Struthio camelus: one gene and its partners. Each later gene encodes a partner of the first gene's protein in a complex. Links are inferred from orthologs where the notes say so. Each region holds a gene or a part of one and is shown in the gene's direction. Other genes may lie near its edges. The genes, in order: MYBL1, LIN52, LIN54 and E2F4.

The links.
Region 2: MYBL1 (region 1) and LIN52 share a complex: the UniProt entries of both Homo sapiens proteins name them as parts of the DREAM complex. The link is inferred for Struthio camelus from reciprocal best matches to the Homo sapiens genes MYBL1 and LIN52.
Region 3: MYBL1 (region 1) and LIN54 share a complex: the UniProt entries of both Homo sapiens proteins name them as parts of the DREAM complex. The link is inferred for Struthio camelus from reciprocal best matches to the Homo sapiens genes MYBL1 and LIN54.
Region 4: MYBL1 (region 1) and E2F4 share a complex: the UniProt entries of both Homo sapiens proteins name them as parts of the DREAM complex. The link is inferred for Struthio camelus from reciprocal best matches to the Homo sapiens genes MYBL1 and E2F4.

Annotation. Positions count from the first base shown.
Region 1 is NC_090943.1:132,429,952-132,437,895, forward strand, and holds the start of MYBL1 (myb-related protein A), read left to right. Parts: upstream 1-4,891; 5' UTR 4,892-5,037; coding exon 5,038-5,057; intron 5,058-7,944. UniProt on the Homo sapiens protein: Transcription factor that specifically recognizes the sequence 5'-YAAC[GT]G-3'.
Region 2 is NC_090946.1:57,307,221-57,315,024, forward strand, and holds the start of LIN52 (protein lin-52 homolog), read left to right. Parts: upstream 1-4,629; 5' UTR 4,630-4,715; coding exon 4,716-4,734; intron 4,735-4,810; coding exon 4,811-4,885; intron 4,886-5,052; coding exon 5,053-5,090; intron 5,091-5,550; coding exon 5,551-5,617; intron 5,618-6,455; coding exon 6,456-6,539; intron 6,540-7,804. Other genes in the region: ALDH6A1 (methylmalonate-semialdehyde/malonate-semialdehyde dehydrogenase [acylating], mitochondrial), read right to left, coding at 14-175, 1,590-1,664, 3,842-3,907, 4,239-4,301.
Region 3 is NC_090945.1:10,330,085-10,337,458, reverse strand, and holds the start of LIN54 (protein lin-54 homolog), read left to right. Parts: upstream 1-4,278; 5' UTR 4,279-4,473; intron 4,474-4,694; exon of another isoform or gene 4,695-4,919; intron 4,920-5,279; exon of another isoform or gene 5,280-5,610; intron 5,611-5,703; exon of another isoform or gene 5,704-5,815; intron 5,816-6,245; exon of another isoform or gene 6,246-6,766; 5' UTR 6,767-6,856; coding exon 6,857-6,878; intron 6,879-7,374. Other genes in the region: COPS4 (COP9 signalosome complex subunit 4), read right to left, coding at 840-991, 1,809-1,888, 4,074-4,147. UniProt on the Homo sapiens protein: Component of the DREAM complex, a multiprotein complex that can both act as a transcription activator or repressor depending on the context. In G0 phase, the complex binds to more than 800 promoters and is required for repression of E2F target genes.
Region 4 is NC_090951.1:24,434,045-24,441,553, forward strand, and holds the start of E2F4 (transcription factor E2F4), read left to right. Parts: upstream 1-4,356; 5' UTR 4,357-4,405; coding exon 4,406-4,573; intron 4,574-6,485; coding exon 6,486-6,595; intron 6,596-7,180; coding exon 7,181-7,342; intron 7,343-7,509. Other genes in the region: EXOC3L1 (exocyst complex component 3-like protein), read right to left, coding at 1-30, 359-578, 1,768-1,928, 3,096-3,138. UniProt on the Homo sapiens protein: Transcription activator that binds DNA cooperatively with DP proteins through the E2 recognition site, 5'-TTTC[CG]CGC-3' found in the promoter region of a number of genes whose products are involved in cell cycle regulation or in DNA replication.

The DNA of each region.
Region 1 (7,944 bases):
ATTCTTTTTTTTCCTCAGATAGGAGCTCAAGAAACTCCAGAATGTAAGACCTTGTCACACAGTAAAATAATATAATAAAAATAAATAATTAAATCCTCGTATGTATGAGGTGCATATGTGTTTACTGATGTACTCCAAAAAGGAATGTTTAGTGCATGTCATGGCAAACTTCGTTTTAATTTTTTTTTTACAGCAGTCCTGTCAGTATTTGCAAATTTAGTACTTTGACTCAGCTAAGGCTTTCAGGATCTATTTCCTACAAATTAAGAGCATATGTATTACTCTGGGAATATGCAGGAAGGTTAATTAAGCACTTAATATTTCAGGCTCCTTTGATTTTTTTTTTTTTGACTGAATTATATATTAATCAACACTAAAACAAGACATTTTATATTATACGAGGCTGAAGGACATAAATCCTGTCTCAGAGTGGTTTTCATTCCATAAACTGTTCGATTCCAACCTTTGTAGTTCAAAGACTCTTGTCATAGCTTTAATGTGAGGAAACCTGCAGTCTCATCGTCTCTGGATACAAAAAGAGTATTACAGTGAGTGCAGGTCGGTGCTCAACACCTATATAGCAAGCAGAAATCAAAGACAACTCGTACAAAGACTATTCCAACAGCAATTAAATAACCAATTGTGTGTGTTTTTTTTTTTTTCTCTGTGAAAGAAGCAATGACACTGGTTCACCCCTGTGACAATAAGTTGTAAGGTTTTTTTTTCCTCCTGGGGTTTTCAGGATGTACCAAGGACTGAGGTTCTCATGTGAATGCGCAGGGGGCGCTGCAAGCCAAGGTTTCTCACTCGCCCGGGTTGTCAGTCAACTTTCTCATTGGGGCTGGGAAAGGAGGGCCGGGGCAAGGACATCCCACCTATATATGTGTACACACACACAGACACACACACACACACATATAAATGTATGAAATAGGCACATGCTTTCAGCTGGAGCGCATGTGGGGTGATTATTTTTTCCTGTAGATCCAGTACTATTCATAAATTAAGTAGAAACTATATATTGGGTGTGTTATCCAAACATGGATGACGTGTATATAAATAACATGAGATAGTTGAAGAACTTTACAATATGGGTTTATTTCTTTGTAAGTTTGCTTCCTGTGTAGCTTTTGCGTGACGTCGGGGTATTGTTAGACTAGATCAATTTCACAGCTCATATCTTTCCACAGTGCTGAAATATCTCAAAGGAGAATGCAGTTGGGTTTAAAACATACAAATGAATCTATTATTCCAGCTAGTATTCAAAATGACCATCAATAAGCCTTAAAGCAATCAAAATCATTTGCTGCTGCTCACATGTTACATTCTGGGGAAAATATTACCAATTCTGATGTAAATGACTACAGATTTCTCAAAGAAATGCATCCGCTGCCTGGGCTGAGAACAAAATAAGGTGCCTGAATGTTTCTGTCGTATACAGTTAATGTTTATAAAATGGAGTAAATTTTTTCTTTCCCTGTGATCAAATGCCAATAGCAATCAAGGTTAACTGCTGTGTCACTGTTGTTGAGCCACTGTATTTCAAAACTCTAGTGCAAGAGTATGGAGGTTGCACTTATTGGCTTAAGAACTTAATCGTATTGTAGAAGAAATGAGAGTACCCTATGGTGGCATACAGTATGTTGAAAAACGTTCCAGTACAGAGGTAGACCTTTCTCCTTCACTGAGCTCCACATGCTGGCATTAGGCCCCAGCTCTAATAAACCTTGAAATTCATGCCTGCGCTGTTCTCGAGCTTCTGAGAGTGCACCAAATCGCCTAAATAAATGTCCCTAAAAATCCCTATTTGAATTTTCAGCTTCCGATAATTTTTTGAGTTTTGAAACGGTTACATTTTCTTTATGCTTATAACTCAGCTTCAAAGTTTTGTTTGAATGAGGCTTCATGCATACCACTAGCTTGCAGCTTAAGACTTGGTGTAGGGGGATATCGAGAAAACACACAGATTATACTAGAATCTAGTTTGAATTTCATGGCAGTTGCATGTTCAGGAAGTTACTTTCTCTATTGTGGTGTTTACCAATCTTCTGTAAGTAAATCTGTCTCTGAAGTGAAGACAAAACATGTGTTTAAAAGAAGAAACCATGTGCTGTTTTGATGTCTCCTTTGGCACCATTCGAGAAGGTAAAAATCACAGTAAAGAGCTGAGTGTTAGGGCCTCTGCACCCAAGAACTGCAATCCATCATCCCTTTTTAGATACTTTATCCCTTAAATGCAATCAGAAGACATGAGCGTGGTACCTGCAGTACCTCGGGCGTCTGAAACAGCAGCAGCGCAGCAAAGTCCTGCCTGAATCAGTGCATTTATGCTGTGCCTGCCTAAAAGCTGATCACCGAGGAAAGGAGATCTTTAAACACCGACTCCAAGGGGAAGGTGCTCCCAGGTATTTTGGCTCACTTGCTCACAACCCCTATCGTTCGGGCAGGCCTTCGCTCCGAGGAACCCTGCAGGGTTTGTGTTTCTGTTTACACAGCCACAAGAGGATGTGGTGAGGCATTTGGGTGCTTCTCCTTTTGTACAACAGCGTGGTGGTTAGGGCCATCGCCCAATAAGTGGGATGGCTGGGCTTGAGTAAACCCGCATTTCTTGTTTCTCAAGCAAGTGCTTAACCACTGGGCATCACAATTTTTTGGAGGAGGGGGAAACGGGAGGGAAGGGGGAAGGGCTATCTCTGAGCTGCTTGCTGAGACTGTGCTCCTGCCTGGCAAAGAATTGCAGAGTCACTGGCCCAAAGAGAGACTGTTCCTATATATTTACATTAAACTAGCAGTTGGGAACATACAGATGGGCCTGGAAGCAGCAACCCTGCTGCTTCCTCCCAGGGGCTACCTAACCGCTACGGATGGACTCAGCCTCCCTCATTTTTACTCGCTCTTACGACTACCATGATTTATTTTTTGGTTTTTTCCCCCCCTCCTCATTCTCCTCTCCTTCACACAACTTTTGAAAAGAGGAATAAGGAGTATTTCCAGGCCCGAGGACTTTATTCTGATGCGCTTTCCTGGGAGGTGGGAAACGCTGAGCTGAAGCAGAGGGGCAGGTGGGTCTGGCTCAGCCCGGAGCGGCGGTGTGAAGGACAGCGGCAGCACGCGAGACGTGCAAACCGGCACCGCAGCCGTTGCCCTCCTGGGTCACGTTTCGACGACGGGGACGGCTGCCGCAGGTTTTTAGCTAGGCGCTGGCTTTGCCAGACTTGGACCGGGTAAAGATCTTGATCTAAAGCTGGTCTGATCCGAGGCAGTTCATCGGCCTCCAGGGATCTTAGAGTTCATAACTGGCAGTGTCTGTGAAATATAGGCACGTCCAGGGCTAGTCAGACCTTGGGCTTTTAGTATTACAGCTGTGGATTTAGGCACGTGATTTATCCGTGGTAAACACTTAAGGTGAGAAATACTATGCATTTAAGTGTATCTCATCTAGGACAAAATTAATAATTCTATATATTCACGATCTATTCATCATCACAATACTATATATTCATATTCTTTTTCACTTTCTAGTTTTCATGGCCTTTTTGCTTACGGCTGCACACAGTGGAAGAAATGCGTAGTTAGACTAAGTCCCGAGTTCCTGAAATAAAAATGGCATAGAGGTACTTAGAGTGAACGTGAAAATACACACACACACAAATATAAAAATTCAAGCCTCGGGTGTTTTTTTTGTTTTTGTTTTTAAATACAACTGTTTATTACAAGGTGTGTGAAAGTCGCTACTTCCCGAAGAGCGCAAGAACTAAGAGCAGTGTCTGCTGTAACGGGCTCTGTCGCGGCGGCAGCGGCTGCTGCTGCTGCTCGGCGGCGGCGCTGCCCGAGGTGGGGGTCGGCCGCAGCCCCGGCGCCACCGCGAGGGGCGCGGCGAGGCTGTAAGGCGCGGGACGGGCGCTTCAGGCAGCTCCCTTCGATAGCTCAGCTGGTAGAGCGGAGGACTGTAGAGGCGCCGCCCGCCCGCGGGAATCCTTAGGTCGCTGGTTCGATTCCGGCTCGAAGGAGGCTTGGTTTTGCGCCGTGCGGCGGCGCGCTGAAAGCGTCGGTTTTTTTTTTTTTTTTTAATTTTTTTTTGCCAGTCAGGAGCGCGCGCGCCACGTCTGACAGCGCCCGGGGCACCGCGCCGCGCCGAGGCGCCGCTCGCGGCTCCGGGCTGCCCGCCCCCAGCGACGCGGCGTTATACGGGGCGGGGGGGGGGGGGGGGGAGCGGGCTGGCGGCGAGCCGAGCTCGGGCCTCCGCCGCCCCCGCCCGCGGCGCCGCCGCCGCCCTGTCAGCGGCGAAGACTCGCTCCCCCGTCATGCCTCGCGCCAGCCGCCCCCCCCGTCCCCGTCGCAGGCCGGCCCCGCCCCCCTTTCCCCCTCCCCCCGTCCCCCCGTCCCGCGGGACGCGCGGCCCCGCCCCGGTCGCGTGCGGCGGCGGCAGCCAATGGGGCGGCAGTCCGCCTGCGCAGATTCAAACGGTGGCTCTGGAAGGAGGCTGGGCGCGAGATTCGGCGGCACCATCCAAACCCGCCGCGAGCGCGGCGGTGGCGGCGCAGCCCGGACCGCGGGGCCGGCGGAGGGCCGGGGCGGCCAGCGGGCCGGGCCGGACTGAGGCGGCACGGCACGGGAGGAGGCGAGACGAGGCCCGGCGGGGAAGCGGCTCGGGGCGGGAGGGCGCCGCCGGAGCCCGCGGCGGCTCTGACAGGAGCGAGAAGGCGCAGCTGGGCGAGAGCGGGGCCCCTGCGCGTCCCGTGCTTGCGGGCAGCGGCCGGGCTGAGGCCGAGCCATGCCTGCCGCGGCGGGTGCGGGGCCGGGCCGGGGCTGAGGGCGGCCGCCAGCGGGCTCTGGATGCCGCGGAGCTGCGCGGGGAGAGGGGAGCCGTCAGAGGAGCCGCGCCCGCCTGAAGTCACCGCCAGCCGCCCGCCGCCCGCCGCGACGCTGTCCCTTCCGCCGCCCCGGGGCGGCCAGCGGGGCGGCTGCGGGAGGAGGAGCCCGGGCGGGGGCTGCACCCTGCTGCCTTGGCGCCCCCCCCCATGGTGCGCCCCGAGGATGGCGAAGAGACCGCGCAGGTGAGTGTGGCTGCGCGAGCGCTGCGCCATCTTACCCCTCCCCCGGCCAGGCCTGCCCGGTGCCGCCCCCCCCCCCCTCCGCGGCTCCCCGGGCCGGGCTGTGCCGGCTCCGCTCGTGGCCTCCCGCGCTCTGGTGTCGCTCCCGCTGTCCCTCTCAGCCCTCCTGGCCCTGCACCCCCACAGGCGCGGCACCCGTCTTCCCCCTGGCTGCCCCGCATCACCTCGCGGGTATAAACTGCTCCTCGCACCTGTAGGCTGCTCCCACCTGCGCCCTTTTTTGCTCTGCCTCTTTGTTGTAGCTTACCTAGGCAACCTCCTCGGCTCCTGCTTCTTGCGGTCGCTGGCCCTGTCCCCCACGACAACTTTGCTTCCACAGTGACTTTTCCTGCTGCTTGTTTTCCTGCTGCTGGTGTGTTATTTCTTGCTTTTCTATTTCTGAGTTGTTTCTGCGCTGCCTGCATGTCAGGCTTGAGGCTTGAAATTGATGTTCAGGCCTGCTGCTTGGCCGAATATCTTAAATGAACCCGTTTACTCTCACTTGGCATGTTCCTTGATTGAGGATGTCATAAGCTAGCCTGAAATCTCCTGAAGAGCGTTTCTCTCAAACTTCAACAGCAGCCCCAGATACACTTTTCTTTCATTTATAAGAAAACACATGTGTCTTCACTTTGTATTTAAAAGATGAATGTTGGAGAACTGTTTTATTGCCATGGTTATTTTTGCCCTGAATAGAAAATCAGTTTCTGAAAACTGATAAAGTAGTGCTTTAAAAAAGGATTGGGACTGAGAAAGCTTTCACATTAGTATTACTCATTTAGCATCTTTTCCTATCTATGGCATCTGGGGTTTGCTGTGAAACCATGCTTCCTGTGGAAGTGAGGATGGCTTCAAAGTTTCACTTACAAAATCTACTAAACCTGCCTGTGCTGCATCTCTTCTGAAGAGTGAAAGAGTTCACAAATTAATATTATTTTTCTGCAAAACTGAAAGTCAAACAAGAAGGCAGTACTTTTGGGCTGTAATTGTGTAAGAAATGGGGAAAGGTTCATTAAGAGGCTTTGCTTGCAGAGGGTAGCTGCTGGAACTGTCATAATTTAGCAGTCTGCAAGACAACAGTGCATAGAGAGTGTTTTCTGTTACTCTTAACTTGCATTCCGTAACTTCAGAAATTCCATCTATGGTATTGTAACCGATAATTTCATCTTTACAAAGCTGTAACTTGTATTTTCCCTTACGGATATGAAGTGCTTTCATCTTATATTTGAAAATAAAACTAGTTGTGGATCGCAGAGGAACTTCTGGTTCGAGATCAATAACCCTAGAAGAATACCTTATCAGTGTATGATGATGACATTCCTGAAACTAATCATCATAGTATAAGTTTACATCGAGATGCTTTCAAGATCATTAATCTAGATGTAGAGTAAGGAGGAAATATAACTGTTTTGTTCCACATGGTATTAAGTTTAATTCTGTTAAACTATGCTTGATTTTTTCGCATTTGGAAGATCTGTTTTTTTCTTTCAATGGTACCCAACTCAGAGCTGCAAAATAAAGGAAGAGAAAATCAAGGTGAGTTTTATTTGAAGATAGCTAGCACAGAATTCTTGAAGTACTTTTTTTTCCCCCCTAATGTTTCAAATTTCTTGTTTGATGAAATTACATGGCAGCGTTCCACTCTCATGCAATATTTCACTGCAGTTTCATAACTGAGAAAGGTTATTGTAGTTCCTTTGACAATTCTAACACATTTGACAGTCTCTTCTTCCCCCTAAAGCAATATCTGAAGTTAATAGCCCCAGACCTTCACATACATTTAACTTACAGTCTACTGGTGTCCCATTCTAAGCGAGGCCAAAAAGTAAACGGCGCTTCGTGTTGACCCGAGGTGCAAGGGGGCTTGCTCTGTGGTGAGCTGGTTTTCGCCCATGGACGTGGGAGGAGGGGGCCGGGGGGCGCGGGCAGGGCTTGGAATGCGCCGCCTCCCTGGAACCTGAGGGTGAATCCGTCCCAACTGCCGCTGCCAGCTGGGCCCCCACGGCTTCCGCTGCCCTCCTCGGCACCAGCGCCTTGTGTCCAGCATCCTTTTCTTTCTTTCCCCTCTTTTTAAAGTGTTGTTATTATTATTAAGCTTTTAGCATGATGTTACAAACACGAACTGAGCATCAGATGGTTCCTTGTTATCTTCCTGAATGTGAAGGCAGCTCGACCTAGAAGGGACATGTGAATTATTCCTCTCAACAGCAGTGATTCTGAAAACGGAATACAATGGGTTAAACAGAGATATTATTTCAGTTCTAATTATTTTAATAGAGCTAACTAACATTGCTAAGTTGCAGAAGATTATATATGACTATGCAGTAATGCCTGTACTGTTCTGACTTCCAAACTGTTAGTTTTAATGTGGGGAAAAAGCTGTGGTGTACCTTTGTGGAAGTTTATAGAGCACTGATCTTTACCTAACACTTTCAGTATGTCAGTGAAAAATATTTTGAACTTTAATATTAAACACCTAACCATTTTACACTTAGAATATTGATTAAAACTTTTAACCTTGAATGAAACAAAAATGAATTCAAGTCAATTTCTTCCTGCTGGTCTAGAAAGCTGGAGAAACTAGGGAGCTGTCATACTGTGTGTGTTTGATCACTGAGTTTAGGCACCCTAGTATAGCTCAAATACATGCACACTTTAATGTGTAAGGAACATAAGTCATATCTTCTCATCTCCTTGCAAATCTACAGGTGATCTAAGGATAAGTGTTAATGTTTTATGATGCAGTAATTCTTTTTAGAAGTAACGATTAGTTTATCTGAAGTTGTCACTTTTTTTTTTTTTAAGTCTTAGTTATTTTTTTGCCGATCTTGTATAAAACCTGGTACATTTT
Region 2 (7,804 bases), on another chromosome or scaffold:
ACAGATATCTCACCAGATTGTCTTTGATGAGCTGTTGGTAACGCAGCAAGATTTGCTGACGACTCAGAACAGATGTTTCTGACCAGTTCCAAAAAGCCTTTTTGCATGAAGCCACAGCTGCCTCCATCTCACTGGCTGTGGCCTTTGGTACACGACCAACCACTTCATTTGTGGCCTGATGGAAAAAAACAAATTGCATCAAAGCTCAGCTTTCTCCAGCTATTGCTCTCAACCACTCAACTCTCCTTTCACACCACACACCTGATATCCTTATTCTAAAAGGAGTTGTATTTCCATAGGAAGAGTACAAAAGAGACTCCTCTCTTGGTGCACATGAAAGGCATAGGCTACAACTGGAGTTCTGTGTATTCAGTAGTTTAGAAACTCTGCACTCTACACATCTCAAATTAGGCACCTAAAAAGCTGAAAATTTAGAAGTGATTTAGAAATGCTTGATTTGAAGTGACTTGTCTGATATAACGTATCTTTCAGCTTCTCGCGTGGATAAGGCAAAGGTTTCTGTGGACTGTGTCCTTTTCCCTCTCTATTGTCTTGGCTCATCTGCTGTCTCTCCTGCACATTAAATGAGGCAAGGGTCCTTTGAAAAAAGTAGCAAACTGCACGTGATTGTGCAATTTGCATTCATGTTACTGTTCACCTAAATCACTAGGCAGAAGTGAGATTTTTATGATCAGCTTTAGTTCTATAATATTTTAACTTTTAAATCCTGTCTTTACCAGTTTAACCTCCTTCTAGTGCACTCTTAAAAATGAAATCTGCTTTGACATGACAAAATATCAGGTACGTCACTAAGAGAGAAACTACAAGTACAACAGGAACGAAAGGAAACAAGAACGATGGCTGCTCCACAGCCAATGGAGACTCCACAGAGACCAAATGAGCTTCATGAAAATAAGGCTTTACAGAGAAAAGCTTCAGAAACTGCTGTCCAAAGGCTTACTGCAAGGTCAGAACCTTGAACACAGTCCCATTTCCATTTGTCCTTGGTGTAGAACTGAGATGGGTGCAAGTGCTACTAATCTAAGTTAAGTTTTGCATTGCATAGCATCAAGTGTCTAAATTCACTGTGAATATTGTGGCTCACAGATAGAAGCTCTCTCAAAGGAGAGAGGAGGAGCTTCAGCTGTCAGGATGTTCCCCTTGGTCTGAGAGTGAAATCAATCTCTATAAGGACTTTTACATTTAGCTGACATCAAATCACACGAGGTTGCATACATACAGGGTGAAAGAAATCCTTCCGAAATTTGCAATACTCTTCTCAAAGCCTTTCCATGAGCAAAAGAAAGGTAAGTAGTGTTTAAACTTCCTCTTTGGATATTTGGATAAAATGGCTTTGGGTTTTACTACACAAGGGAGAGAAAGGAGGTCATCACTTTCCTAAGACTGACATTTCATATGAAGATGCAACTGAGAAGCAATTGCACAGTTCTAAATCTGTCTTATTCTCCAAGTCTAAGACTTTCTCAAGAAATATAGGTACTTTTCCCTCCCACCAGATGACTCAATGGAGGCACAGACCCTTGCTGCACAGTGACTGCTGATAGATACGCAGAGGCCATTTCACTTACTGGGTTGTGGATATCGATCCATTCAGTAGTTTTGGACTCAACAAACTTCCCATCAATGAACAGTTTGGTTGTTGGCTGTGGAAGACAAACACGGGACAATGAGTGATCTTTGCCTCAAGGTGCCTACACACTAACGTGCCTTATTACAGGCAGGCCTTCACCACTCACTGCTATGCTGCCTGTTAGAGGGCAAAGTCCCAATACTTTACAGTTATGTCCAGCTAATTCTTCAGGCTGAATTTTTTCATGCTGTCCACCCTTTCCCCCCCCCCCCGCCTTTTTTAATGGAATTGGCCATAATTCTTTCTAAAAGCAGTTCAAGAAAAAATACATTGTTATGCTTATATTCAGAAGTATTTCAGTCTACTCAATCACCCAAAGTTTACCAAGTTAGAAGACTGAAAAATTGCAATTCATAAATATTCAGAAAAAATGGTGAATATTTCCACCTCGTGAGAATTCCATGTACCCAGTGCAGACTGTACTACACACTTCATTCCCATCAAGCCACTAAGTCAGTCACCTCCCCAGCTCATAGCTGCAGGCATAAAACTGAATGGTCCTTTGGCCTTGGAACTAAAAGCAAGGAAACTACATCCACCGAAGTCACAGCGATTGTCCTGGCAGGCAGCATGGGGGACAGAACTCTGCAATTCAGGCGCAGAACAGAGAAAAGCAAAGTTTGGAATAAAAGTTCAGCTAAATTTAGGGCAGGAGGAAAAGCAGGGATAGAAGCTGTAATTATCACTGGATAGGCAACAAGACTGTAGCAAGCAGGAAACCAGAATGGGACTGCATAAATGAAGAAACTGGATACTAAGAGTACAGAGTTGATACTGGGAGGTAAGGAGAGAACCAGGAGAAAGCGGGAACCAGTTAATCATGCAGAGAACAGCGAGGAAGGATAAAGAACTGCAGGGAGACGAGGTCAGAAAGCAGTGGCGTGGGGAGAACAGATAAGATAAAGGGGAAACAGACCTGCAGTATGAAGAACAGAAATGGGACATGCCTGACAAAAAGATTAGAATATAAAAAAAAAATATCAGGGAGCTGTGTGAAGGAAAGAAATTAGGCCATAGAATTATGAGAGAGATGAGGATTGCAATGCCTTCCAAGGCATAATGAAGGGACAGAGATGAGAGGAAGAATCAGGAAAAGAAATGGGATTGGCTGGACAAGCAGTAAGAGTCAAAAGCGGATGAGAGTAGAAAAAAAAAAAAAAGCCCACGTAGCACATATCTGCAGTGGACATATAGGCTCCAAAGCTACATGACCCATGTGGGCTTCGGTACAATGGAACTTACCTTTTTTAAGCAATTTGAAAAAACATATTTAGGGAATTCCTCATGCAAGGAAAAATTACACTCTACAGTTTAGGAAATGCTAGAATCAATATTGACTGTACTTGTTCCATAAGATGCCCCTGCTCTTCTTCTCTAGAGAATGAGCCTGTTCTGGGAACAATGACTGTGGAAAAGCAGACTTTTTGGACAATCATGATTTATCTGTTCCAAACTTGGAAACTGTACAGTTGTGGATAGCAGATGAGAAAAGATACTATACTAGCTAAAGCAGTTAAATACTGCCCTAAGAGAAGCAGATTCTGTCTCTGCCATAGATGGACTACGTGAGGCCAGTCATACAACTTAACATAACCTTTTTTTCACACAGGATCATTAATCACATATTCTTTATTTTTTGCTGCTCTAACTAACTGAAGATATATCACACACAGCAAAGGAAGTCTAAAAATCAGAAAAAAACCTGGCTACTTAGTAAACTGTGTGCTATTTAATAAACACGGAGAAAACAAAACACCAAGCAGTGGTCAACCGAACTAGCATATCGTCCTTAGGTACACGCGCAGGAGTCGATAGAAAAAGTAACGTGGGATAACTGCACTAACGGCTAGAGCACAGCTCAAGGAGGGAGCGTTCAGTCAGAGCTGGTACTCCTTCACTCTGGAGTCAAACACATCTGACGTCTAACTAGTGTTTTTCTTTCCTTTCCTCCTATTGACCAAAGGGGCCCTCCGTGCCCTGTTCCCTGCGAGTCGCCAGTGTTTGCTCCAGAGATGCCAGGCAGGAGTCACGGGGAGGCGAACCGACAGAAACGACCTCAAAAGAGCAGACTGGAATAAAGTCTCTGGCTGTGTCAGGAGCAAAGCCAGAGAGGCTCCTCGGGGCTGGGGCCGGGGCGGGCTCCCCCGCCGCCCCCCGCCCGCTGGCTCTGACCCGCGGCGCCGGACTCACCACCGAGGAGGAGGAGGAGGAGGCGGCGGCTGAGGCGATCCAAGGGGCACCGGCTCTCCGCGGCAGCTGGACGGGACGGAAACACACACAAACGCGGTTCCGGGCAGCGCTCCCGACGGCGGGTCAGCGCCCCCGGCCCGGCCCGCCCCCACCCCGGGCCAGGCAGCCGCCGACCCAGCGGCGCCGCCACCGCGCTGCCCGCCCTTCCTGGGCCGCACCGGCTGCTCCCCCCGCCGCCGCAGCCCCTCGCCGCCGCCCCCCGCGCGGGGCTCCCGAGCCAGGCGGGCCGCGCCCCCCTGCGCCGCCCGGGCCGAACCGAGCCGCGGCGCGCCGCCACGGCGGGGGGAGGGTGGGGAGAGGAGCGGGGGGGTAACGGCTGCCGCTGCCGCCGCCTCACCCTGAGCGCCGCGCGCCGCCCGCCCCAGGCGCCGCGCGCCGCCGCCGCCGCCGCCGCCGCCATCCCGGGCCAGAGTGCTGCGCCGCGCCCCCCGACGGCACCCCTCGCCCCGACCCGCCGCGGCCCGAAGCACCGCCCCCGCGCTCTCATTGGCCGCTTGGGCGCCGGCCTCGCCCACTCCCCGCCCCCTCCTGGACCGCCCTCGCGGCTCTCGGCCAATCGCCGTCGGAGAGCCCCCTCGCCGCGCCCCCCGGCCCCACCGCCCACCGTTGCGGGGTGCCCATTGGCCGCCCGCCCCAAGACGCCCACTGGCCGTCGCAGCTCGGATTGGCCGAGCGTCGGCGGGCGGCCACGCCTCCTGGTGGCGGCGGCCACAGCGACACGTGAGGTTTCGGGGCTGGGCCTCGGGGGCGGGGGTTGCGGGTCACGTGGGCGGATCCCGCGGGCCGTGGCGGCGGGTCACGTGACACGGGCAAGATGGCGGCTCCCGGGGACGGTGAGGCGGGAGGGGGTGGTCGGGGTGCCGCTCCTCGCTGGTGGGTTGTGTGGAGGCTCATCCCTGTCTGTTGCAGGCGCGGACCTGGAGGCCTCGCTGCTGAGCTTCGAGAAGCTGGACCGAGCCTCCCCGGACCTGTGGCCCGAGCAGCGTAAGTCCCGCCCCGAGCCCGGTGGCCCTCGTTGGCCTCAGCGCCTCGGGGGGCCTGGTGGGGCCCCTCCGTCTCGGCAGGCGGTAGCGGCCTTGCCCATGGGCAGGAGGCCGTAGTGCTCTGTAGCCGCAACCGCTCACCTGGTGTTTTCTTTTCTTTTTTTTCAGTACCAGGTGTTGCTGAATTTGCTGCCTCCTTCAAAAGTGTAAGCAACGTTTAGTTTGCACCTCGTGTTTTCCCGTTTCCTGCCTGTTGATAGATCTGCTTTTTCCTGTTGTGAGCTTCGTGACCTTTTTCTCTAAAATATTTCTTAACTGTAACTTCAGAATGTTTCAGTATAAGCCTTTGCTTCTCTTCTTATACCTTGTTGTGAATGTAGTGTGTTGGTTCTTGGAAGAAATAAAAGATTTTTAGAAAAACTGTAGAAAATGCTGTTCTTTATGCTGTTTTCAGCTTTTGAGTGGTATGTACTGGTGTTACTTTCAAAAATTATAGAAAAAGTTAGAAAGTTAGGTTAAGTGTAGGAAAATCTCTACAGAGCACCTATTATCCTTTTATTTTTACTGTCAGTGTGAGTATTTTCTAGAATCCTAGACCACATTTTGTTTGTATGCTGCTATAAATACACTTTTCTGAGCTATGTTTTTTTTTTTCCCCTCAAACAGCCTATTACTAGTTCTCCTCCCAAATGGATGGCTGAATTAGAAAATGATGATATTGATATGTTAAAGGGTGAGTATGGGCAGTGCCTTTGAGTAGCAGGTAAGATTACTAAAGCAGATGGGTGGGGGTTTTTTTTGTTTCCTTTTTAAGGGGAGAGAAGGGACAGGTGGAGGAACAGCTAAGTAGACGATATTTTCTTAAAATGTGGTGTAGAGCAAGCTATGTCACATGAATCCACTAATATTTTTCAATGACATGGAGCACTACCAACTGCAGTGTAACTAAAGGGTTAAGGCAATAGATTCTACCTACTTGGGGTGACTATGTGAATACCACTGCTTGGCTGTGGTTCAGTAGTGCCTAGTGTACTGAGTTGTGAAGGAATGAACACAGCAGGATCGATGCTCAAAAGCTGTCCATGCTAATGATCTGGAAGAATTAGTTTACTCAAAGAATTCAACCGCTTAGAAATAGCGTAAGACAAGATCATGAAGAACTCTATGGCAATAACAAAGAAGAAAAATAGCAGAATACGCTTCCTGGGGTGATGCCTTAGGCAATGATAATGGTACCTGTTTGCATGAAACTAGACAGGCTCGCTTAAATATGTAGTGCGAATAAGCTTCTGCTAGAGAGCTTACAAAGGTGAAGATATTTTTCTCACTATCGGTGATTTTTTGAACCATTGGATCCTAGCATTTCTGGCAAGCAAAACGACTTTGAGGTTGTTATAAGTCTTTCGTGCTTCTGAGATTTGAAATGTGAGAGTTAAAGAATGTATTTTGTTCAGTGGAAACGGGTATTGTCAAAAGTTGGACTTGAAGGTGCTCTGTGAAGTAGTAAGCCCAGGTACATTGCCACTAGAGGGCTATACGCTGTTAAAAATCATGCTTTTCTGTGTTTTTAGAGTTGGGGAGCCTCACTACTGCTAACCTGATGGAGAAGGTTCGAGGCCTGCAGAACCTGGCTTATCAGCTGGGACTGGATGAATGTAAGTGCTGTAGGCAGATGTGGCTGACTGCATTGCAAATATGTACTCATCCTATATCTATAGCTGGAAAATGTATCGGCAGCCCTGGCAAGCATCTCACAGTAATAATGGTGCAGTAGGAAGTCCTCCCAAGAGAAAGAGTGCTGAATGATACTCTCTTAGCAGCTGCCCAAAGCAAATCTGTCAGGTGCACAGTGTGACTTAATGGGTCACATTTAGAATTTTGTAACTTTCAGTTTCATTTCTAATGTTGAGTTAAGACCTATTTGTGTGATAGATAAACAAGGTGGTAATTTGTGTATGTGATCTTCCAAAATGGGGAGAGAGAACTTACAGCCTCTACGACAAGAGGTCATGGTTATGCCATCTGATGTTGTGTAGTGGCCCATAGACTTCTGTTCCTGATTTATATTGGTTTAGATAAATTGTCATGCTTTGTTTAATTCCCACTTGGATATTAAAAATATTTTCAGGTTATTTATGCCAATATTTCTGTGAAACTTAAGTGTACTATCTCCACAGTGGAACTTTCACTTGTGTGTAGGATTCTGCTACCAGTTAGTGTTTATAGTTAATTTCCAGCGTCTGTAATTGGTGGTTTTTTTCTACTGTTGGCTGTGAATAGAGCTCATGTCATCCAGTACTAAAGTTGAACTGCATCCCGCTGACTAGCAGCCAATTTTTGTCAAACTTTTGAAGAAGGAATTGCCTTCATCAACACGTTCAAGGCTCTTGTTATCAGGCTGATTTAAGGGGACTGAGGTTCCTTTAAACCCTGTCTGTAGGGTACCTATTTACTTATTTAATATTTTCTGCTTGGTTTTGCTTTAGCTTAGGCTCTACTTGAGTTACTCTGGGGTAAGCACAAAGCTTTGAAAGTTTTAAAACTGTCATTGAGACTAGGAAAAACCCTTCATGTTCCTTGTTAGCTTTATATGGTGATATAAGTAACGTGGTGTGAAGCCTTTCACTTCTTTTTCAGTGGACAGCAAAAAGCAGTAGTACTATCTTTAGAATCTTACTGACTCTAAGTATAGGATACTCTAATGCTTTCTTCCCAGATAGGTTGTTAAGCATGTTTTAACACACCCCTGCATGCACAAATTCATTCTACTTTCAGAGCCTAATCTGTTAAGGCTGTATAAAGCATTTAGTAGTGTAGAAGTTAAAGTATAGTAAAGCAATATCTTAGTAAAAGACAAAGTGGGAGGATGCTGCTTATGTATTGGCTTTAAGTAAACCATAAACTTAAATGTCGAACTGCT
Region 3 (7,374 bases), on another chromosome or scaffold:
AGTGCAGCTGTCTGCAGGCAAAGTAGCAGTGCTAGAATCTGGGTTTTATAAGCAGAAGTGTGGTTAAAAGAAGTAGCCATGTGATGCCTTGAATTTAATTTCTGCATAATCACTATAACATGCAGGGAAACATATTCAGTTAAGCTTTAGAGTGAAAGCTGCTTAAAAAGACAAAAGGTCAACATGCAAATACAAATCATGACAGCAACTGCGTGGTTTTTGTCCTAATATTAGATGCAGTAAGATGTTTATATAAGCATCTTCAGTAACCACTCTCAGCAAATACTGAGGTACTTGTACAAGAAAACCAAGGACAGACTTGAAAAAAGAACTGCAACGTATTCAGCAGTTTACTGTAGAGGTGGGATTTCTAGGAAACTATTTTTTCTGGTACAACATTTCTGGGCTTAAAGAGTTTTAAATGTGGGTTGTTTTTTTTTTTTAAATGTTAAGTAGCAACAGAAGCTACTTGGTAAAATACTTCTCTTTTCAATCACTTGCCCATGCCATTAGTTGGGTAATATGTAAAATAATCAGTACCAGTCTGTATCTTGACAGCTTTTCCAGTAGCTCAAGTATTGTCTCATTGTAAGAAGCCATTTTCTGGTAGTGGAGGAATTACATGCCTCGCATCCTGATTAAGAAACAAAGACTGTATTCTTTGCACAGTCCCATATCCTCACAGCATTTGGCAAAAGTTTTGCTCGCACAAGAATGCCAAATTGGACTTTAAGTAGGAACATCTGTTTTGAACAACAAATTTGAAGACTAACAATATTTAGCAGTTACACCGCAAAGCCAAGCCTGTAAACCAGAAATGCTTTTCACTGATGTCTTACCTGCTCCTCAAATGAAATGACCCTAGGCTGTATCTTTTCCAGGGTGAAGTGGTATATTTCTTTGGCTGTGCTGTCAGGAAGACTTGGAAGATGGGTACAGAAATCTGTCAGTAACTGACGTGAGATCACTAAACTGACGTTTTCATTCACCACTGGTTCAAAGACACATGGAAGAAGAATATAAGATGGAAGAAACGCATGTCAGCACTTTCACTGTAAGTGGTCTATAGCCATTCAATCACTTGCTTTAATATTAAATTTGAGCTTCTTCAACTTTTAAATCTAAATTTAAATTATGGGCTGCCCCCGCCCAAAGATGACTTTCCTTCTCTCACAAACCGATGCTATCTGTTTACACTAGAGATTGCCAGAGATTAGAACTGAGGTGAATAGCAGTGTCTTTCTTGCTCTGATTTATCGCCTAGGAAGATGTTTCATTCTGAATCGCTGTTCTCAGCTGCTAAAACGTTTCAGACAAAGTAAACATTTAGTCTAAGTTTCACTAAGCTTACTCTAAAATTCTAAATCGGATATAGCAGATATAACTTCTTTAAGTACTCAATAAGCCAAACAACTAATACAACACCAAAAAGAAATCAAACCATTTCTTCTTGGCAATCTTCCCCATTAACCTGAAACTGGAAGGAGAGAAGAGTTGTTTCTTTAAAGACAGCTTTCTATCCACTATCCATTTTACCAGTCAACAAAGACTAGTTTACATTTGTACACAGTGCTTAGGTCTACCTTCAGACACTGTAATACTAATAGGTTTGAAAGTTCCATTAACTCAGAAAACTTACAAGTCTGAATATGCTGATGTTTGGTGCCTCTTCTAGTCATGTTTAAGTTCTAATATGACTAGAATATTATACATTTATTTAGCCTCATGCAGAGCTAACAAATACGCAATCCCACAGGTTCAGACCTTCATTTAGTCAGTGTGTGAACAGTCATACCAGACACACTTACTTGCTTCTACAAAAGCTTTCAAAGCTTCAAGTTGCTCGACGCCTGATAGCTGAATGGCTTTTTCCAATATTTGACGATATCTGCCCACAGATTAAAAAAGAAAAAGTCATATTTCATATTTTTTTTAAATTAAGTATTCCTGTTTCTGTGCTTATTTTCTTCCTTAGAGTGCTTTTTCTATTTACATTTGCTGTGTTTTCGAGGTGCGTGTTTGCCCAAGTGTTTATGCTAAAATTCCAGGAACGTTCGCCTGGAACTGGTATCTGTGTCTTTTTAAAGTTCCAGGACTAGTTTCCACCGTAACATAGTTACAAATCTGTTAGTATATCTGCAATGAAAAATGCCTTTTAAGAAAATCAAAACCCCAACCTATTCCTGGGATAGTGCTTTTCTGTCTTGCCATAAAGAGAAAGCACAGGAAACGTAAAGAACGTTATATCCCTCGCATATTAAAATCAGTAACTGGTGACAGAAGTGCAAAAATGGCAGATTCAGGGGGAACAAGAAGCAGTGGTGGGTGAGAGATGGAAGTAAACAGTATACTATAGACACTTGATGGTATCATAGGCAGGGAATATACCCTATTTTTATAAAGTATTTATTATTGAAATGTTTAAATATTAACAAATCATACTCACTGCAGCTTTCATGTAGTAGTTGTATAAGGCCGGTGCAACTCTTACTGGGCCATAATCTTAACATGTACAACATTGAAAGGAGTTACATTCATGTTGAAGCTGCATTTTCAGGGGAACGTTTCAGGAATTTTTAAATATGAAGTGCCTAGATCTGAGGCAATTCCTCTAGAAAATAAGGAATTGGACTGGTAATGAAGGAATTTCAAGTGAATTGAAAGAAAGAAACTAGGTAATATACTGCACAGTGATTAAGTCAAATCCCACATCTCATATCCAAAATACCTTACTTAAATTTAAATTTTCATTGTTGACTTTTTTAGTAAAAACACATTGGAGGAGTTCTGCACGCATATGAAGCAATTGTGGGAAAGAAAATCCCCACGGTCTATCACTTTTGCTCAGTTTTCGGACAGATAGCTGAAATCGGACAGGCACCCAGAATGGGGTGGGGTGTAGGAGTTACAGTGAAGCGGTAAGGCCCAGCACAACTGCCAAGGGGCCTGCGCTAGGACAGTGAGAGCACAGAGGCACTTTTCATTGAAAACAATAATAAAGACAAGCAGGAAAAAGAGGACGAATCATATTATTTCAAGAGCTGACCCAGAAGCACCCTACCGTCAGGGCGAAGAGCTATGCCTGCTGGCCCGGAGGCCGGGAGCCCGCGCAGCCTTCGACTTGCAGGCGACAGCAGCCCCTCCGGCGACCCCGGATGGCGCTGGCGGCGAGGACATCGCGCCCCGCTTCCCCTCCCCTCAACGGTCCCGCGGACTCGCCTCAGCAACGGTCGCGCGACTCCTTCCCTCCCTCCCCCACGGCCGCGCGGACCCTCCTCAGCAACGGTCGCGCGGCTCCTTCCCCCTCACCAACGGTCGCGCGGACCCTCCTCAGCAACGGTCGCGCGGCTCCTTCCCCCTCACCCCAACAGCCGCGCGGTCTCTCCTCAGCAACGGTCGCGCGGCTCCTTCCCCCCCACCCCAACAGCCGCGCGGACTCCCCTCAGCAACGGTCGCGCGGCTCCTTCCCCCCCCACCCCAACAGCCGCGCGGACTCCCCTCAGCAACGGTCGCGGGGCTCCTTCCCCCCCACCCCAACAGCCGCGCGGACTCTTCAGCAACGGTCGCGGGGCTCCTTCCCCCCCCACCCCAACAGCCGCGCGGACTCCCCTCATGAACGGTCGCGGGGCTCCTTCCCCCCCCACCCCAACAGCCGCGCGGTCTCTCCTCAGCAACGGTCGCGGGGCTCCTTCCCCCCCCACCCCAACAGCCGCGCGGACTCTCTTCAGCAACGGTCGCGCGACTCCTTCCCCCCCCCCTCCCCAACGGCCACGCGGACTCTCCTCAGCAACGGTCGCGCGACTCCTTCCCCCCCCCAACAGCCCACTGTCGCGCGGACCCTCCTCAGCAACGGTCCCACGACCTCCCCCCCTCCCCAACGGCCACGCGGACTCTCCTCATCAACGGTCGTCCGGCTCTTTCCCTGCCCCCCCCCCCACCAACGGCCGCGCGGACTCTCCTCAGCAACGGCCGCGCGGCCCCATCCCCTCTCCCCCCCAAAACGGCCGCGCGGCCCCAGCCGTTGCCCCCAGTCGCCGCTTCCCCGCCAAGGGAAGGAGGACGCCGGCACTCACTTGCCCGCCAGGTCCTTGTGGGAGCCACTGGAGTTCATCAGCTGCGCCAGGTCCTGCTTCACCGCGGCCGCCATCTTCGCTGCGGCGCCGATCAGGCCCTGCGGCGGCGGCCGCGCCTCCTCCTACCATAGAGCAGCCGCGGGAGGGAAGGCTAGAGAGGCGCCGCCGCTTCTGCCCCCCCCGCCGGGTGGCGCGCCGCGGTCACGTGGCGCGGGCGGGCGGGCGCCGCCGCCGGCCTGTCACGGCGGCACTGCCTGCCCGGCGCGTAAAAAACACGCCCTGTACCGAGCGGGGCAAAACACCGGGCGGCCCGGCCGGCTGTGATGGCGGCGGGGGAAGGCGGCCGCAACCGCGGCGCTCCGCATCTCCCGAAAAACGCACGAACTCATTTATAGACGCAGTACGGCCGCACCCAGCCGCATATAACATACAGAAATGCATATGTGCGCGCGTGCCGGGGGGGAGGCGGGGGTGGGGCCCGCGCCCCGCCGGCGGCGCGCGCGGGCCCCGCCCCGGAAGCAGGGCGAGCCGTGGGAGCGAACGAGACCGAGGGTGGTGGCGGTGGGGAGGGGGAAGAGGAGGCGGGAGTGTGAGGGAGCCGGAAGCGCGGGGCGGGGCGGCGTGGCGCGCGCAGGGCGCTGCGCCGGCGGTTGCCAGGGCGGCGCTGCGCAGTATTATGGGATGCGGCGGTGGAATGGCGCGGGGCGCGTGATTTTGAACAAACACGGCGGCTGGTGGCGGGCGCTGCTGCCGCCGCCGCCGCCTCCGCTCCTGCCGCCGCCGGGCGCGGTAGCGCGGGAGCGCGGCGGCGGCGCGGGGAGGCGGGGGAGGAAGAGCGGCAGCCCGGTGAGTGCTAGCGCGAGGGGCGGGAAAGCGGCGGCGGCGGCGGGGGGAGGCGGCGCGCACCGGGCCCTGCACGGTGCCGGGGGGCTGGAGGAGGCCACGGCCGGGAGGAGACACCCGGTCTCCCGGCCGCGGCGGTGCCTCGGCGCTGACAGCGGCGTCCCGGCCGCCGCCCGCCGAGAGGGCGCAGGCCCGGCCCCGCCGGCGCTCGCTCCCCGCGGCGGGGCGGGCTCCGTCTGCTTGTGGGGGCTCCTCGGGGTGGGGGGGCACTGGGTCGCCCCTCCGCCCCCGCTGCCCGGTAGCTGTCTTGGGGGGGCTCCGCGGCCCGCTGATGAGCGCGGGCTGCCCCGCTTTGGCGTCTGCAGCTGCCCGTGTCCCTCGGCGGAGGCCAGAAGCGGGAGACAGCAGGGCAGAGCCGTCATCTGTGCTGCTTCGGGCTGTCGCCCGGGAGGAAGTAACTCCGCAGCCTGCGTTGGCTTTGCATTTCCTCGGAGCGCACCGCAGGCCGGCCGCGGAGGGAAATACGGATGGAGCGACTAAAGGATGGTGTTGGGGTGGGGGAGGAAACGATGGGCTAAACGTGCCTCTCCTCGGAAGCCGAGCGAGATGCGCGCTGCCCTAACGAGCGTCCTTTGCCTTGCGGCTTCCCGAAAGAAGCCGCAGCGCAAGCGGTAGCGGAGCGACGGGATTCAAGGTGAAGCAGCGACGCCAGAGCAGCCGCTGCCGCTCCGCGCCGGTGCCTCGGGGGGGGGGGCGGGGGGCGGGCGAGCGGCGGGGGGCGGGCGGCGGGGCCGCGGCGCCGGGCGGCGGCGATGACGAGGTGAAAATGGCGGATCTTTCGAAATACGGTCGCGGCCGCTGACGGAGCGGCGGCGGCGGCTCCCGCCCGCCCCGCTGAGGTGAGGCCCCGGCGGCCGCGCGCGCGCGCCCGGGGGGTGGGGGTGGGGGGCGGGAGGGGGCCGGGGCCTAACGGTCGCCGGCGGCCGTTGGCGGGGCCGGGCCGTTCCAACGGTCGCGGCGGCGGCTTCCCTCCCCCGCCCCCCCCCCCCGGCCTCCCCTTTTTTTCCCCCGGCCGCCGGCTCTGGTTGTCGCCAAATGTGGCGGGTGTCGAGGGGAGGGGGGATCCCCGCCCCGCTGCCGGGGCCGCGCCGGGGGGTCGGCACGGCCTCGGTCCTGCTGCCCAGGCGTGTCGGGGGAGGCGGGGGGGTGTTTGGGGATGACGGGAAGCACCCGGAAGGGTGAGGGGTCCTCGGCGCCCGATGGTCGGGCAGGTGTCGCCAGGATGGCGCGTGGCGGTCCCCTCGCTCCGGCGCCGGGCGGCCTGCTCCGTAAGTTGCTCGCGTCAGGAGGCAGGACAAACTGGTGGGTGAATTAGGCCCTCGGACTCTCTCATCCCGTTACTCCTTGACAACACGTAACCAGCTCAGGTTTGGGTCGCTGGCGAAGGACTGGCTGGCCTCTCCTGCAACTCCGTGTCTGTGGTGGACTTTGCCCTCCGTGAGGGCAGGTTGTCTTTGTGTTTGGAGATGCTCGGCTTGGGAGCCACAGTTGGTCGTTCAAAACAGGTTGTGGTAACAAGTGCCCGCGGTATTGTCCGTAGTTCCTCTACCGGCTGAAGTGTGAAGGTGTACCTGTACTTTCCGTCCAAAAGGACGCATGGAAACGGAGAATCCGGTGGTTTGCAGTGAATTAGCTGGACTGTCTTGCCAAGTAGTCTGAGCTTCTCACTTCATCGTTTTTGCTTCTCGTTCGTTATGGTGTATATTGCTGGTCAGAATGTGTTGTTAATTATTGGTGGCCTTTACTTTTCTGCACATCGTGTACTAATTATGTAACTTCTGATATGGCAGCTTTGAGTTCTGGAAAGCATTGAGTGTTCAGAGCGTGTGAACTTGTCGACCTCTAGAACATAACGTGAACGCGAGAAAAGCTGTCAGAAGATGTTAACTAAAGATAAAACAGGTATTTGAATGACCTTCCATAGGTTCATCCTTCTAAACGGTTGCCTGAAACACATTAGAATTGTTATAGGAAATAGTACATATAGAAAAATAATACTGAATGTTCTTTACCAAGTTTACATAAAGTTAGTTAAAATAAGCAAGTCCTAATATACCTGGCTGGTTCATTCAGAATAGCTTTTTGGCTTAGTGGGTTATCGCCTGAGAGTATTTGGTCTTTCAGAGAAATCTTTCCTCAGAGTAAAATGCCTTACATATGTCCTTTTATTCCCTAAAACATCCAATTTACATGTGTACTACCGAGTAATAGGTGTTGGTTTTGTATCATGTACATACTTACATTTAACCAATAGAAAGAGATATGCCTGTATTGTCCATAGGCAAAGCACTGCTAAAGGTTAACTTGGAGAGTGTCTTGAAAAATACGGCCGAGCTTCTCCAATGAGTTCAAGAGGTACTTCATGCTTATGGTAACGCAGCTAGTTTCAAAAATTTCA
Region 4 (7,509 bases), on another chromosome or scaffold:
GCTGCAGGGTATGGGAAAAAACTTCATGGACTGTGGGAGAGGGAGGAGAAATGACAAGATTGAGCACTGGAGTTGAAGGGGATTGGCGCTGGGGCTGTGGGCATCAGCAGGAAGATCCCAAGAAGAAGGGTCTGAGACCTGGGGCTCCGCGAAAACAGTGCTGGGACAGGTTCTGGGGAGGCAGTGGCATCTCCATCCTCAGAGACTTTCCAAACCCAACCAGACAAGGCCTGAGCAACCTGCTCTAACTTTGCCACCAAAGAGCAAAGGGGCTCTCCCTGCATGAAGCCAGAGTTGCACTTGAGCACTCCCAAGTGCCTTTCAGCCAAAACCCCCAAGGACTGGGTGAATACCTTACCTGAGAATAGCTGGGGCAGGACCTTTACCACTGAGGCCAGTTGCACATGCTCCGCCATCAGTGCCCGCATCTGCTGCAAGACCTGGAAGTGGTCAGCACTGTCGAGCAGGGCCCACCGTGCAGCCCCCAAGTCCTGGCACACACTCTGCACCTCCTCGGCCGCTGACCGCAGCTGCTGCAGCCCTGCGTTCACTCCCTCCAGGTAGGACTGGACAGTCGACTGGGGAGCAGAAGAGGATGAAGGAGCAATGGGGAAGCTCTCAAAGGATGGGGGACTCGCACACCCTTTGTTCCAGCCCTGCCAGGCCTCTGCAGCACGTGGTCTGCACTCCGACAAGGTTGCATCTGCCTCTCTCATTATGCTGCCACATCTCCCACATCTCCCACAATGTCCCTATCCCACAGCTCCTGCTCTCCCCATGTACACCCAGCCCCAAGAAACCCGCTCCAGCAACAGGAATGGCCCATTTCACCCTTTTGCTCCAGTGACAGGAATGGCCCAGATGTCTGCTTTCAGCTTTAAAATAATACTAAAATATTTGCAGGACACAGGTCCCCACTGCGCCCCCGAGACAGATTAATGGCACGAAACACCTCAGTGGCCACACAAACGTTCCTCCAAAATGGATTTCCATCTTTTCAGCCCTCCAGTGGCACTGGTACGTCTCCATGCTCTCTCCGCCCCTTTCACCTCTGGCTTCTGATATGAAGAAGCATTTTTACCCAGCATTGACAGAAACAGGTTTTCTCTGAAGCCACATTACTTAAAATTAGTCCTCTCCTGGACAATTTCCCCACAACTAGGGCAGGATAAACCATCTCCGAAATCAGGATAGCCAGGACAAGGTCCAAGGTGCTCAGACCACTCACGTCCTGAGGTCAGTGTTTCTTGAGGTCATATAAAAAAGGATCATAGAGTCACCCTGACCAGGTAGGCATGCACAGTGACCAGTTAAATCCCTTATCTCTGTGTAAAAATACTGTTTCTCCTGTGCGGATTTGCAGGCAGGGATGGGGCAGGCTGGAGCTCTTCACCTCCTCCCAGCCATAGAGAAAGGGAGCCCTTGGTGCTGGGATAGGGAAGCAACAGGGAGCACTGGTTTCTGCACATGGGATGCATTGGATATCCTTGGTATTTTGCTTCTAATTACAGAGAGAGATGCAGGAATCCCATTTTAGCACTTTAACCACACTGCAACCAAGAGGGTTAGGGCAGGAGGGGGTTCTCCTGGCTCTTTCCCCCCCCAACAACAGCATTTCTCCCATCAAAAGCCAGCACAAAGACAAGATTGTTCCAGAAGTGCAAAAAAAGTGATTTGATGCAGAAGACCAGACCCTGGCTGGGATCCCTGCATGGGAAGAGAGTCAAGCTGTGTGTGCTCATCAGGTGGGATGTGGCAAACACCCACCTTCAGCCGGGACTGGATGGAGCTGTTCCTCTGTGTTTCCCGGCTCCGGTACTGCCCAAGCCCTTCTAGTTTCTCGGGGCAGTAGAACACCCCTGAAGCCCATTTCAGAGCAGCTCCTCTTGCTAACTTCTCAGCCTTCTCCACTTCTGGCCATTCCTCATCTGGGGGTGAAGCCGGGGTTAATGAGTGAAATGTGCCTCTCCTTGTGGGGCAGGAAGGGCCCCCAGGGCCAGAGGCAGGAAACCGGCCACAAGCGGATGTTCTAGCACACACAGATGTGGGAAGCCAGACAAGGCAGCAGCAAGCAGGCCCTTCCGGGAGGGCCCCAAGAGGGATCCCAGTGACACAGGTCGGAGGCCATGCAGCAGTCATGGCAGAGGACTACCCCAAAGAGCTGCCAACTGCCCTGTCAGCTCAGGCTGTCACCAAAGTTGGGAGTGTGTCCCCTTGTTGGCCGGTGGGGGAGGGATCTCACACCACCTGGGAAGGCCTTGGCAGGGCTGAGTCCTCAGCAATGAGTCAGCAGAAGGAATGGAGGGGCGACAGCTTGCACAGTCTCTCTGCATGAAGGAGTCCCCAGAGGGGTTGATTTAGAGGGCCCTGGGGCCACCCTTGCCTGGGCAGCTCCACTACTGAAGGCAGAGTCAGACTGAGGTGAGGCCAGGAGGCTCCTGGACTTTTCAGTCTCCCACAGGCACTGGCTGCAGCTGTGTGGGGCCAGCCATTGTGTCCTGCCTTGGCCCTGGTACAGGGTATGAAGACATGCCAGTGGCCATCTTTCCAGGACTGGGGCTGAGAGTTGGCACAATTATCACATGCTCACCCCCATCCCCAGCACCTGGATTCATTGTTTTCTCCCTTCTCCAGAAGCTCTCCCAGCTTGGGACCCTCCATAGCCCCACAGGGACATCACCTAGCCCCGAGCTAGGGTCCCATGCTCCTGATGAGCCTGTCTGCACTGGGCCCGTGGACTTCAGGGGAAAGCAGCAGGTTTGGGGAAGAGCTGTGCGGCGGGTAGCACTGTCCCCAGTAAGTGCTAAAAAGATGGGCAGCTCATCAGGAAGGAGGGGAGATCACCCTGCGCAGCAAGGGATGATCCCAGCCTGCTGTGGTTATCACTGCCAGGAAGCAGGGCTGGGCTTCCACCCACCCAAAGGCAGAAGGCATTGTGCCTGGCATGGGGAAAAGGTCCATCAGATGGTTGGGCAGAGGCTGGGGGAGCACAGGCATCACTGAGAGCCCCTAGCCCTGGAGATGCACTGCCAGTAATTGTATCCCTCCCCTGCCCAGGATGCCAGCTCCGTGGGGGACCGCGCTGTCCCCATTACCTTTGGGGCTCACGGTGTGCTCATCCTCCGCAGACATGCCCATCGTCTCAGTGCTGCGTGCAAGCTCCAGGGTGCAGGGCTGGGCTGTGCGGAGGAAGCCGGCAGCCGTTTCCTCAGCGAGTGCATGCACACTCCTCAGGGGCTCATTGTGTTCTCGCAGACACACTCAGGATGTCAGGAACTGGGGGGAGCGGGGGAAGGCACTGTAGTCACTGCAGGTCGCAGGCTTTGCAAATAGAAATCATGTCCTGTGTGCCCTTCCCATCCCAACCCCCCCTCTTCCCCTCCCCCTCCCCCCCCCCCCCAGTTTGGTTCATCCTGGGCATGCAGCCAACATAGACCCAGTGCCTGCCTTGTGGGGTGGTCTCAATCACAGCTGGATGTTGCAGTGCAGGGCTGCAAAGCAGCTCGTGTGGCTCAAGGAGGGTAGTGAGGTGTCCCTAATCGGTATTGGCTGCCCAGGGGTGCCTGCCTGGGCAGTGTGAGCTGGGTTTGTGTGTTCATTGCACTTTCTGTATCTGTAGCAGGAGCCCACCAGAAGGTGGCACGGTCAGAGATCTCACTCTGCCCAGGTGAGGCTGCTGCCCTACACATCTCTGGAAACAAAACTACCAACGAACGGTTGCCTGGATGAATGCAGCCTGAGAGGACTTTCAGGGTGCAGGGGGGAAGAGGGTCAAACCTCAGCAAATCCGAGGTACGACTTGAAGGCAGGGTATACAGCAGGGACACCCAGTTCATAATCTACCGTGATGACCAAACTAAACGTAGCAGGTACCTCAAAAAAGGCTCCCAAAACACCAAAGCTGCCATGAAGTTTGAGGAAAGGTCTAATACCTGGGAGCAAACCAGAGACCACTGCGTTGCTGCTGTATAAACGCGACACCGAGTTTCCCCGAGGCTCCAAGAGTTGTTACCCCAGCGGCACAAAGTCCAGCTGGCGGCCAGACACTTGTGGTGTCCCTCAGCGATCGGTCCTGGGGCCAATGGCCGTTCAACGTCTTTATTAGCGAACCTGGCTGAGGGGACAAAGGCGGAGGGGTGCAGGGCGCGCCTCTGCGACGTCCGTGTCCGAGGCCAGCCTTCCCCGCTAGTCGGCAGCAGCCGCCCCGGCACCCAGCGCGCACCCCACCCATCCTCGCCCACCCCGGCCCCACCTCGCGCACATGCGCATGCGCGCTGCCCCGCCTGGCGCCCCCACCGCCCCCACCCCTCAGGCCACCCCGGAGCGGAAGTTCCCGTCATGCCCCGCGGCCCGGAAGCGGAAGCACGGCGCGGCCGGAGCCGGCGGCGGCGGCGGTGGCGGGCAGATGGCGGAGTGCGGGCCGCAGCCCCCCGGGGGTGGGAGCGGGGCTGCGGGGGCGCCGAGCCGGCACGAGAAGAGCCTGGGGCTGCTGACCACCAAGTTCGTGTCGCTGCTGCAGGAGGCCAAGGACGGCGTGCTGGACCTCAAGCTGGTGCGGGGCTACCGGCGGGTGGTGAGGGCTCTCCCGCCCCGCCGCACTGGGGCCAGCATCAAGGGGAGCTCCGCCGGTGTTGGGAGTCGGGAGCCGGCGCAGCTGGGGAGCTGAGGAGTTCTGCTGGAACTCCTGCGGGCACGGCTGAGCTAAGCGCCGGCAAGCACAGAGGTGGCTGGTCCTCCGGGGAGTGAAGCAGGTTTTGTGGGGGAGAGCGTAGGTGGAAATGGCGATCTCTAGTGGAGCAGGTCTAGGGAGGTGAGGCCTCCTCATCAGGCAGATAAAGAGCTCAGCCTAGGAGAGAAGTCCCCGGGAAGAGCTGGGGATGTGGCAGAGCTACCAGACTGCACATAGAACATGCAGAAGTGGCCGGGTACTTACCATCACAGTGTAGATATTCCCTCCTGCAGCTTCCTTCCAAATAGTTCTCATCACTCAGCGTTTGTATTTCTATTTGAACTGTGTTGGGCTATCTTCTTCTCTTCCACGTTCTTGGCCAGGCTTTGGAAGGCCAGGTGCAGGTGCTGTTCAGTCCAACATGCCTTCTGCCTCATGTTTGCTCTGTCACATGGTGCCCCAATCTCCCAAAGCTGCTACTTGAACACAGACGTTGTAATGATAGATCCCTGTAATGCCTCATCGGAGAGCTGCAGAAATGGAGAAACTTGCTCCTTACTGCATTTTGGCCTTCTAACATACAGCAGGAAGGAGAGTGAAATCAGATTCATCTCTGCCGGGACTGTGCCCTGATGCCTTTATGTTATGGACAAGTGTTCTGCAAGTGCACCTTGCTCATGCATTTTCAAGATCTTCACCTAGAGAAAGGAACTCTCTTAATGAAATATGCAATACTTATATCTAGGCCTCCTCTGCATATGAAGTTCTTTCAGTGTGGTTTATACCAATCTCTTATGTGGCTATGTGTGTGAGTTCACTCTGACAACCCCTGCATAGGCTCCAGGCAGGTGTGGGAAAGCCCTAAAAATGGAGGGTCGGGAGGAGTCTTCTGGTTGTAGACTACAGTCCTCTGCTATGGCAAATTGTTAGCTCTTTGGATTTTGTCAGAAGAGCAATATTTTCTTGCTCAAAATATACATTAACTAGGATTCATATTTGTCAGTGTGATTTGAGCAGTAGTGCTGTGCAGGGTCTCTAATGCCCTGGTCCATTACCGTGAAGATGTGTGAGAGAGGAAAGTCATTTCTGTGCTGACCATCTGTGTCTGACTGGCTGTGCAATGCCATCTGTAGTATTCTAGCATGCCAGCACAGTGCCAGCTAAACACCTAGTGCTGCTAAATTGCCCTATGAAAGTGGAAACGAAAGGCTCAACATTGTCTGGAGTATCCAGCAAGCTGAAGAGAACTGTAGTAGTGGAACCCTTGGGGCAAAACAGCAGCGAGCAAGGCAGGGAAGCACGAGGGTTGCTCAGGAGCTGCGTCCTTATAACTGTACTTATTCTTCCCCCAGTGGAGACTCTTTCATATAAAGAAATCTGCCTTTTGAGAAGGTGTTGATTCTCTCTATCAAATGGCATGAGATGTAGATAGAAAAGACCTTTTAAACATCCACTTTACTGAACAGTGGTCAACTGTATAGGCATCTCTCTACCTTCTCCTGTCCGTTCTCATCTGTCTTACACTGAACAAGCACTGAATTTTTAGGCTGCCAGACTAGTGTCTTCTAGCACAGCTTTATTGTTGAGGAACAATGATTTTTGCACCAGCCCTGAATGAGGTGGCTGGAATTAGATTTGTGGTTAATGGGAAGGTCTGTGGGTAAGAAAAAGAACAAAGGGGCAGTGACTAATTCTGATTGTTGTAACGATGTTAAGAACATGGCTTTGTAGTTTGAGGCGCTGGGGCAAGAGAGGCATGAGGTGGGGAGCAAGGGGTGGCTGAGAGTTTGGAGTTAAGTTTTCAACTTTTCTGCAGGCTGCAGATACCCTAGCGGTGCGGCAGAAACGACGAATATACGATATCACAAATGTCCTGGAAGGCATTGGACTGATCGAGAAGAAATCGAAGAACAGTATCCAATGGAAGTGAGTGACAGAGAAGACTAAATTGTTCATAGATCCCTTTTAGTCCAAGGTCCTATCTCACAGCTGTCTTTTCCCCATGCAGGATAGCAGGGCTTCATGTGGTTGTTGTTTAAACATTGTGGTTAAAATGCCCTGCTCAGGGAAAGCTTCCTCAGTGGTCTATGCATGCTTGTGCTTCCCCGAGCTGAGCTGTGCTGTTGCTAGTAATGAGGAAAGCTGAAGTACATGTGGCATGTCCCTTTTCTAATGGAGCTGTTATCTGAGCACAGATGAAGTATTTGTAGTGCCTTGGATTAGAAAAAATGCCTGCTGTGGCACTGGGGTGGGAGAGTCCTGTTAGCCGGTGGGATGTAGGAGGATGTGCTAAATGTTGCTATGCTAGGAAGGGTGTAGGACAGGTACAGGTAAGGCTTTCTGGGAGATCTGAGCTTGGCATATGGTAGAGATGGCAGCAAGAGAAATGTTGGAGTTGGTTTGGATGGCTCAAGACGCTGATGCATGTTATTCCTTTTTACATTGCACAGAGGAGTTGGTTTGGATGGCTCAAGACGCTGATGCATGTTATTCCTTTTTCACATTGCACAGAGGGGTGGGTCCTGGCTGCAACACACGTGAAATAGCTCACAAACTCATTGAGCTGAAGGCAGACATAGAAGACTTGGAGCAGCGGGAACAGGAGCTGGAGCAGCAGAAGATGTGGGTCCAACAGAGCATCAAAAATGTTACAGAAGACGTGCAGAACAGTCGATATCCTTTGTGTGAACTGATTACTCCATCTCCTTGTTAACTTGCTGGGCTGGAAAGCAGAGATGTGAGGGCTTGGTTGGCAGACGGCCTTGCTTGGGGGGGGAGTTGGGGATGGTGACCTTATGTTGCTAGAGGATCTACACTGAAAGGGTCAAGGAACAGTGCCT